Linked DNA regions of Macaca fascicularis. The protein of the gene in region 1 binds, or shares a complex with, the protein of each later gene. Links are inferred from orthologs where the notes say so. Each region holds a gene or a part of one and is shown in the gene's direction. Other genes may lie near its edges.

Region 1 (4,815 bases):
AGGAATTTATTAAACATGAAAGTACTAGGCCGGGCGCGGTGGCTCAAGCCTGTAATCCCAGTACTTTGGGAGGCCGAGGCGGGTGGATCACGAAGTCAGGAGATTGAGACCATCCTGGCTAACATGGTGAAACCCCGTCTCTACTAAAAATACAAAAAACTAGCCGGGCGTGGTGGGGGGCGCCTGTAGTCCCAGCTACTCCGAGGCTGAGGCAGGAGAATGGCGTAAACCCGGGAGGCGGAGCTTGCAGTGAGCCGAGATCGGGCCACTGCACTCCAGCCTGGGTGACACAGCGAGACTCCGTCTCAAAAAAAAAAAAAAAAAAAAAAAAAAAAAGAAAGTACACTCCACAGTGTGGCAGTGGGCCTGAGCTTGGAAGTTCAAGGGCTCTGTTACAGAATTTTGGGGAGTTTAAATACCCCCAGAGGATTCCACGGTTACTTCGGGTATGCCTTATGTTAATGGAGATGAAGCAAAGTTACAAAGACATTTACGACCAATGCCCTATGGACACAATATTTCCTGTAACAGCTGAAGTGTGAATCAGCCTTATGTTCCCTGCCTCCAGACCCTATTTTTCTGCCTCAGGAGGATTGCTTGAGCCTAGGAGTTCAAGTCCAGTCTGGACATCATAGTGAGAACCCTGTCTCTGAAAAAAAATTTTTGAGACAGAGTTTTTCTCTTGTTGCCCAGGCTGGAGTACAATGGCACGATCTCGGCTCACCGCAACCTCTGCCTCTTGGATTCAAGCACTTCTCCTGCCTCAGCCTCCCGAGTAGCTGGGATTACAGGAGCCAGCCACCACGCCTGGCTAATTTTTTGTATTTTTAGTACAGACGGGGTTACACCATGTTGGCCAGGCTGGTCTCGAACTCCTGACCTCAGGTGATGTGCTCACCTCAGCCTTCCAAAGTCCTGGGATTACAGGCGTGAGCCACTGAGCCCAGCAATTTATTTTTCTTATTTTTATTTTTTTTTAGACGTAGTCTCCTTCTATAGCTCAGGCTGGAGAGCTGTAGTGCGATCTCGGCTCACTGCAACCTCTGCCTCCTGGGTTCAAGTGATTCTCCTGACTCAGCCTCCTCCCGAGTAGCTGTGATTACAGGTGCCCACTACCATGCCCGACTAATTTTTTGTATTTTTAGTAGAGACGGGGTTTCGCCATGCTGGCCAAACTGCAAAAAAAATTTTTTAAATAAATGAAAAGCAGAGTATTTATCTGAAAAAAGTGGGAGACTAAGAGTCTCATGGGATTGTTATAAAGATTAAGAGAGTGTTACTGAAATACTTAGAAGAGCTGTCATTTTATTGCTGTCTTTCCCCCTTGTGTTTGGATAGATTACCGTACTTGTTTCTTCTACGTAACTGTAATTATTAGTCAGTGGGGCTCTCCTTCTCTTAAAGGCCTGGAGAAACTTGTCTTAAATGCTTTCCCAATTCACGAATTGGGAGACGCAGATTTTATGTCTACATTACAAGGGCGATACTTAAAAGTATGAATTGGGACTAAAGTCAGTGCTCAGGTGCAGCGATCCTCTGTTTTGTTCATCACACAGCTCCCGGCACTTTAATAAATGAGGCTCAAAGAAACGACGGGCTTAGGTCATGCAGTAATCAAATCCAGAACTCATGTTTGATTCCAAAGCCCACACGTTTTCCTGGTTTAGAAACACTAAACATTTAATTCACCGCACCTGGGGCCAGACAGGCACTGGAAAACGCCTGAAGTATGCTAGGAAGGGAAGACTGTGGTAAAAAGGCCAAGAAATGTTTATCTACAGTCGCAGCCGCCATTCAGATCGATTTCACTGCCTTGCAGAAACGCAGGCCGACTGTCGTCTCTTTATCCCATGGCCGATTTCTTGCGAAATCTCCTAACTTTTAAGTATTTCCGATCAAAAGACTGCTGCTCAAACGGAGCCCACCGGGAGCGTGTTTGCAAATTCTGGAGTAAACAAGAGTGGGAAGCTGATAAGGTGAGTACCTCAATTCCATAGGGATAGCCAAGAAACGGGGAGTTTCGTACCAAAGGCAAGAATGAGATTCTCCGCCCTAGGGTCCCGGAAGGAGGACTGAATTAAATGCAGATTAGAGTCAGGGCACGGCCAGGTGGCGGGGGAAACAGGCTGACATCCCAGGTGGCTGGCCTATCCAGCCAGCGCTGCCGGAGGTACACACCATGTACAGACCACGACAAGAGGGGTTAGGGGCTTCTCGGGATAAAGGCAGCGAGTGGCTGCGCATTCCCTCCCCTACTCTTTCAGCGGTAAGCCTTCTGTGGAGCAGACCCTAACTCTCCCCCGATTCCTTAGGTCACTCGGCTATTTACTTCCTTCCCCTGCTCCTCAGCGTCCTCCACAGTCCTACAACTTCCGCTTGCCTCGTTGTCTGGGAAACCGCCGACTTCCGGTCGCGCAGTGGTGGGCTGAGCCAAGATGGCTGAGGAGAGAGTTGCGACGGTGAGCGCCGAGATTCTCTTTAGTTGCCCGGCCAGGGCAAGGCAGGCTGGCGGGTGGCCTCTGTCCCATGCAGCGGTTCCTGGAGAGAGGCGGAGCTGGGTGCCGAGCGGCTCGGGGTGGGCGGGGCGACACGGTTCCCTTCCTACTGTCCCGGGAACTGGTCGCCTGGGGCAAGTCTGGATACTTAGCAGCACAGGTCCTGTTCTAGGACTGTGGTCCCTCTTGGCGTGCCCTGGACGGAGAAGGGAGACTTCTTACCTGTAATGGCTCTTACCCTAGTCCCATCTTTTTTTTCTCTCGGGGTTTGGAAGGTAATAACTAGCAGTTGTGTAGACAGTTTCTGTTAATCCCGTGAATTGGGAATTTAACATGAACGACAGCCTGGAAGCTTGCAGCGTCACTGCCTCCTGCCAGTGGAGCAGGGCTATGTTTTTTCTGTGGTGATTAAGTTTAGGAAAGTACGGTTTTGGAATTCAGCTGAAGGCTGAGTTGGGCGTTAACTCCACAGAACTGCTAATAGAGAGGAACCCGATGAATTCAGGATGAGCTAGTCGCTGTTTTTTTGAGGCATATATCCATAATTGGATCTAATTTCGGTGAAGTGCCAAGTATGAAGATTTGTTTACCTTGCTTTAGTGTTGGGTTTGAAAGCCTGTTCTGTGCATTTGTTAGAATGATTTTAGGTATTCGGAATTTATTGTCTGTCGAAAAACCCCTTGGAAAACAGTACGATAGCAGCCTTTGACTGTTTTACAACTTAGTTTTGGCTAAGCAGCAAGGTTAGTGTTATTGCTAGAGGGCCTTTTGTTTGTTTTCTACTCTCATTTGCAGAGTTGTCATATTATTCTAGTCTAATTAGAAAACTCTGAAGACAAACTTTTTTTTTTTTTGAGACGGAGTGTCGCTGTTGTGGTCCCGGGCTGGAGTGCAATGGCGCTATCTCGGCTCACTGCAACCTCCGCCTCCCGATTAGCTGAGAATACAGGCGCCTGCCACCACGCTCGGCCGAAACATTTTTATTAAGCTAAGAAATTTAAAATAACTGGGCCGGACGCGGTGCATCACGCCTGTAATCCCAGGTACCCGGAAGGCTGAGGCAGGAGGATCACTTTAACCCCGGAGGCGGAGGTTGCAGTGAGCCGAGACCACGCCACTGCACTCTAGCCTGGGCGACACAGACAGACTTCGTCCCCCCCCACCCCAAAAAACCCAAAGATTTTAAAATAATTAAATAGACCAGGCGTGGTGGCTCATGCCTGCAATTCCAGCACCTTGGGAGGCTGAGGTGGGTGGATCGCCTGAGGTCAGGAGTTGGAGACCCGCCTGGGCAACGTAGTGAAACCCCGTCTCTACTAAAAAAATACAAAAAATTAGCTGGAAATGGTGGCAGGCGCTCGTAATCCCAGCTGGTAGGGAGGCTGAGGCAGGAGAATCGCTTGAACCCAGGGGGCAGAGGTTGCAGTGAGCCGAGATCGTGCCATTTCACTGCAGCCTGGGCAACAAGAGCGAGACTCCGTCTGAAAAAAAATAAAAAATAGCATGGTTAATGTTACTGGGTTTTAAATATTAAAAACATAGGAAAGAAAATACTTCTCCACAATCTTAAAGTGTAAAAGATAACGGGTAACATAACATTGCTACAAGTACAGCTTATCCTTTAGTGCTCATCACAGGTGTTTGTGTAACAGAATATGAACTTGAGTCTGTGAGGGCAGAATTGTCCTGTACATTTGAATGTCTAATACTGTTTTAAAGAGAATAGTTTTTGTTTTGATGTGACTTTAGCAATTAAGCCTGAAGTTAACTATTTTCATTGTTGTCAGATTTATTGCTAGTGTTATGTTTATAGTAATTTTCATCTTTTCAAGTTAGCAATGCATGGAAATTTGAATTTCTGCCCTTTTTGGAAAAGTGGTCTTTTATTTATATTTTTATTTATTTATTTTTTTTGGAGACGGAGTCTCAATCTGTCGCCCTGGCTGGAGTGCAGTCGTGGGATCTCGGCTCAGTGGAACTTCCGCCTCCGGGGTTCAAGCGATTTTTCTGCCTCAGCCTCCCGAGTAGCTGGGATTACAGGCCCTCACCAGCACGCCCAGCTAATTTTTGTATTTGTGCAGAGACGGGGTTTCACCATGTTGGCCAGGCTGGTCTGGAACTCCCGACCTCGTGATCTGCCCGCCTCGGCCTCCCAAAGTGTTGGGATTCCAGGCGTGAGCCATTGCCCCCGGCCTTATCTTTTAATACAATTAAAAGAACCCAGTAATCCTACTCCTAGACCTGTGTCGCATAGGAAAAACAGTTAAACATGAGCGTGTAGTACTAGGGCATTCACTGTAGTACTGTCTGTAGTGTCAAA
Region 2 (4,835 bases), on another chromosome or scaffold:
CTGCATTTAGTTACAAAAAACACTTGGTTACACAAGTGTACCTTAGGATTCTGAAAAACATAACAAAAAGCTTTTGATATAGTAGTCCCTCTTGACTAGAAACTAGACGCACTCGGTATCGACGAAAAGTATACGAAATGACACAGGTGTAAGCCTAGACACTGCTGGTAGTTACCACGCTGGAGGCAAATACTATACAGTCCACATTTGCAACCTAATTTTGCTTCAGCATCCCCAGAGACTTCGAAAATATTTCTTTGGGTAGGTTGCAAAACAGTGCTTCCTCTTTTATTCTCATCACCCCCATTACGATACAAAGCAACAGACAAGAAAATTAAACAGCCAACTATAAGGGCTTAAACACACACACAAAGCATCTTCTTTCTAGCTCCCGAATCGGTAGTTATCCCACCTGTTTGTAAATCCATAATTCCACAATAACACAAACTGCCTGCTGAAAGAAAGGAGGGAAGAAGAGAAAAACAAAGAAAGAGGAAAAAGAAAGAAAAGAAATAAAGAGAAAGAAAGGCAAATTAATGCTTTGGAGTCATTACTCTTCCACCTAGGCATGGGGGGAGGGGGATGGTACAAAAACAATGGATATTGAGGGGCTGGGGGAAAAAATCGTCTTGCCCCGAAGCCTCTTGTGTTATAAGCCTGGGGGAGTCGGGGGAGAGTGAGACTACTTTTCCTCTCTCCCTAAAAGCTGTGCTATCACGGGGAGAGGTTGCCATCCGGCATGTTCTACGAGGCGGTCTCGAAGGGCTACAACTCGCTTCGCCAGGCAACACACCCAGAGCCGATCCAGCACTCTTCACTCAAAGGGTTTTCAGGGAGAGGAGAACGGGAAAGCAAGGTGGGCTCTAGGGAGGGGGCGCGAAGAGACCCCACCCTGTATGACCGCCGCTGCGCCCGGGCCCTCGCCAACGATTTACACGACTTGGGCGCCCTGCGGACTGGGCCCGGGGCCCCCGGGAACCGAGAAGAGCGAGACTGTCCGCCGGGCGCCCCCGGCCCGCGCCCTCGCGCCGGCTCGCCCTCGCCCAGGCGCTGTCCTGGCCGCCCGCCGCCGCCGCAGGCCCGGCCCCGGCCGCTGTCAGACCCGACCGCCTTCCTCTCCGCGCCGAGCTGCGGGCTCCCACGCGAGCAGGCTCCGAGGGCCCCGCACTCCCGGAGACAGCACCCAGGAAAGCGGCGGCGGCGGCGGCGCCTCCCAGGGCCCCGGCCCCTCGGGCCTCGCCCCGGCGTTGCCGGCTCGCGCCTGTCAGGGCGCGCGGGGCCTCCCCCTACCGACAGCCAGCCCGACAGCCCGACGGACAGGAAGGCAGGCAGGAAGAACCGACCAACAGACACCCTCCGCCTCATCGGCCCCGGGTTACCGTCAGGAGCCCCGACTCCGCCATCCTCCTCGCTCGCCCTGCTTCCTCCTCTTCCTCCTCCTCCTCCTAAGAAGCGACGCTGCCCAACCGCCGCCCCCCGCCCGCCCCTCCCCCACTCGCCCCGCCCCACCCGCCCCTCCACTACTCTCGCTCCAGCCTCCCCGCCCCACCCCTCCGGCGTGGGCCCGTCACTCGCTAGGCAAGAAAAATGGGCGGAGCCGGGGCAAGCGAAGCTGCCCAATCAGAGAAGGGCAGTGGCGCCTGCTTCTCTCTCTCTCCGCCCTTTTCCTTTCCTCAGTTCCTCTACGCCGTCTCCCGCCCACTGGGCGCCGCTGGCTAGCCGGGCTACAGAGTAAGCCTCCTGCAGGGTAGAGTGACAACTCTCCGATCGGAAGTTACTGTTGAAGCTAAGGCGGCCATAACTGATAATGGCAACAGGAGTTTCCTGGCTTCCTGTTTCCAGGGTGACGTAGATTTTTTTCCTTCGCCAGTCTCACCGTTACCCGGGGCAACAGCTGAGCAGTCTGGGAAGGGATGCATCTGTAAGTAAGCCCAAAGAGGTACCGTGGGTGACCAGACATCCCATGTTAGACAAGTTAATTCATACTCTGGACTACACGTCCAGTTTCCCGGCCCTTATTTTACTGAGACATCTGGTCACATACGTAGATGGACTATAGTTTAGGGCTCCGAAAATCCCTCTCCTGCCCGGAAGTTGCATTTGGCACTTCCGAATAGGGTCATGGCGGAAGGGGGTAAGGGGGTAAATAGCCTCGCCGCCCGTGCCCTAGGGAATGCCCATTCTTGACCTCAGTTGCAAAGTGAGGTGAGTCCCTGGGCCCCAACAAGTGGGCCGGACCCGAGCCGGACGGTCCCTGTGGGACGGAGCGCTGAAATGGAGAGCGGGGCTCAGGGCCCCTTCCGTTAGAAGCTGCTTTTCTTTCCGGGCTGGCCTAGCGGCGGCCCGCCCTCCCTCCGCCCCCCTGAGGCTCCCTGTGGGGTGAGGCAGCGCTACAGGCCGCCCTAGCCCAGCCAGAGCCAGGCTGGCTGGGAGGGCCCCAGCGGGGAATGGGCGCGGACCTCGGGCGGAGCTCCTAACTCCGGCAAAATGGAGCTCCTGACCACGCCTCCGCAAGTTCCTATTAAGTACTTTCACTCTCTGGCCTTTAGAGGGAAGAGAATTCGGGAACTTGAGAAAATAATTTTCCACCTTCAGCTATAAAAGAAAAAGATGAGCCCCTACAATCAGGGCAAGACCTCTATCTTTTTCCCCTGCCACCTGCCTTCTCATTCTGAGTTTTCCCCCCTTTCCGCGTTTGTCCTTTGTAAGCTTTGACTGCGGTTCTTGTGGTGGGATATACTATCCTAATCCTGCAGGTCTACAGATTCTTAACGTGTTGAATATTTTTGAAAATGCTGTATTGCTTTAATATGGCCCTTTACAAAGTTATCATACATTATCTTGTAGTTTCTTCTGTATGCTTGAGTCAAGAACTCTCAGTCATCTTGGTAATACCGGGTTGGATGCTTAAAGCTGCAGCAAAAAGACCAGAACTTTCAGGTAAAATTGAAAATTGTTAATATCCAGCCAGTCAACAAAACCTACCTTCTCGACTTAATTTCTACTTCCCTGGTACTTACACGCCAGCCAAAATGAACTACTCTTGTTTCTTGGCGGTTAATTACTGAAATCTGTTGTAGCACTCACCTTTTGTGATTCTGTCTGATTCTGTTATTCGCGGAGATGTGTTTCCAGATTCTCCCCAGCAGAAAGTAATTCCTCTGAGTTTAGCATTTTTTGCACGTCTTTTATGACAATCAGTATGTTATATATATATAATAGCCGCTTATGTTTTTAACTTCACTACCATGTCTGCACCTAAATAGAATGGTTTGTATCAGATTCGTCTTCCTGTCATTTTCACCCTGCACATGATATTATTTTGGTAAATACTTACTGAAAGTTTGAATATCTCGGGTGTCTCTTGGATGCCCAAGACAGTTCCAGCCAAGTTTTAGAGATCTTCAATTTATCAGAAATTCAACTGAGCGCCTGCTACTCAGCCTTTTTTGACGTTTCCCCTGTGAAGTCTTTCTGACATGATTTTTTTCCCCAATGTTTTATTATGAAAGTGTTCATATATTTAAAAGCTGAAAGAATTAAATAATTTAATGAATATTCATATACCCGTCATCTAGATGCAGCAGTTAACATTTTGCCATATTTTTTTCATTCCTCCTCATTTTTTCATTGTTGTAAAAAGTTGCAGACACTTATTGTTAGGCAGACACCCTTAAGACTTTGAGCATGAATTTCCTGAGAATTTTGAAGTTCTCTAGCAAAACACAATATCATTATTACAGCTGTTTTGTAATGTTTAAAATCTAGCCCAAGTGCTAATTTTCCTAATTTACCCAGGAATATCCTTTATACCTTCTCCTTCCCATTCTTGCAAAAAAAAGAAATCAGGATCCAGTCAAAATTTTTCTTCAGCTTTAATGTAGTGGAGTTCCCCCATCTTTTTCCCCCTGTGATATTGGCATTTTGAAGAGTTCAAGCCAGGAGTCTTTTTGGAAATGGGCCCCCCTTTTTTCTTCTTGTAAACCAGAAATTAGTCTAGAGGCTTAAGTTGAACATTTTTTTTTTTTGCAAGGATATGTCACAGTGTTCATACTTTTCCAGTCATGACTAAGCCTTCTCAAACGCCAAGTATACGCACCTTTTCCATGATTTGCTGGTTAAATCCATCTCACTTCTCAGCCTGCTTACCCCTCTCCGGTGTCCTACAAAGAGGAGGGTAGCATTTAATCATGTGTGTATAGAGTATGTGTTAGTGCCTTGGGTTGGCAACATAGACTGACTACCTTTAATAAAGTGTTGCTGCTACTTTGCCTATTCTTGGAGCTGATGCAATGTATTTCTGCAGTAAAGTGTACTGATGTCAGCATAGTTTATGAGTTTCAACTCCTGGCACCCTGCAGACATTGTTGGAAGATGTGTGGGCCCTGCTATTCAAATACAGATGAATCTTGATGTTATCAAAGCAAATACCAAGGCAACTGTTGGCCATCTGGTCACATTCCAATTTAGGCATTGTTATTTTTCTCACTGAAATTCTCATGCAAGTCTTAATTGGTCCTGGTGTTTTTGTGATAGCTTTTTGGTAGCATTAAGCAGAGCCTATTAAAAATTACAAAATCAAGATTATACTTAGTACATTAGATACATCCTCTGTCTAATGGATAGATAAGTGTTTGTGGAATTTACTTCATAATCACAAAAGGAAAATTCTCAAGACTGCCAACCTCATATACTCCTAGCCTAGACTTATATTTGATTATGAAAGATAAGTGAAAGGAAAAAACTGCACATAAGGGAGCGGAAGAAAATGCTCTGGGAGGACAGAATCTCTTAGATTGGTATAGAATGTTTTTAGCCATCATATTGAAAATTAC

Evidence for each region. Proteins that work in one complex are often made in the same cells at the same time.
Region 2: the proteins of BBS4 (region 1) and BBIP1 are in contact, whole or in part, in a cryo-EM structure (PDB 6VBV), measured with the Bos taurus proteins. The link is inferred for Macaca fascicularis from reciprocal best matches to the Homo sapiens genes BBS4 and BBIP1. Residues at the interface, in NP_001069424.1 of Bos taurus: Leu210, Leu213, Tyr236, Leu240, Ala241, Ser244, Gln247, Thr248, Ser269, Pro271, Asn274, Asn275, Met278, Phe281, Gly282, Lys284, Tyr298, Leu299, Pro301, Leu302, Asp303, Trp304, Lys305, Ile306, Tyr308, Asn309, Leu312, Leu315, Thr316, Gln318; in XP_003587939.1 of Bos taurus: Met7, Phe8, Arg9, Glu10, Val11, Leu12, Pro13, Lys14, Gln15, Gly16, Gln17, Leu18, Tyr19, Val20, Glu21, Asp22, Leu28, Lys30, Pro31.

Annotation. Positions count from the first base shown.
Region 1 is NC_088381.1:49,571,563-49,576,377, forward strand, and holds the start of BBS4 (BBSome complex member BBS4), read left to right. Parts: upstream 1-1,622; 5' UTR 1,623-1,850; coding exon 1,851-1,976; intron 1,977-2,414; exon of another isoform or gene 2,415-2,435; coding exon of another isoform or gene 2,436-2,459; exon of another isoform or gene 2,460-2,722; coding exon of another isoform or gene 2,723-2,770; intron 2,771-4,815.
Region 2 is NC_088383.1:120,004,753-120,009,587, reverse strand, and holds the start of BBIP1 (BBSome-interacting protein 1), read left to right. Parts: upstream 1-1,848; 5' UTR 1,849-2,205; intron 2,206-2,364; exon of another isoform or gene 2,365-2,525; intron 2,526-2,847; 5' UTR 2,848-2,903; coding exon 2,904-2,940; intron 2,941-3,087; exon of another isoform or gene 3,088-3,258; intron 3,259-3,337; exon of another isoform or gene 3,338-3,530; intron 3,531-4,099; exon of another isoform or gene 4,100-4,163; intron 4,164-4,835. Other genes in the region: uncharacterized protein, read right to left, coding at 413-451, 892-1,286, 1,380-1,403.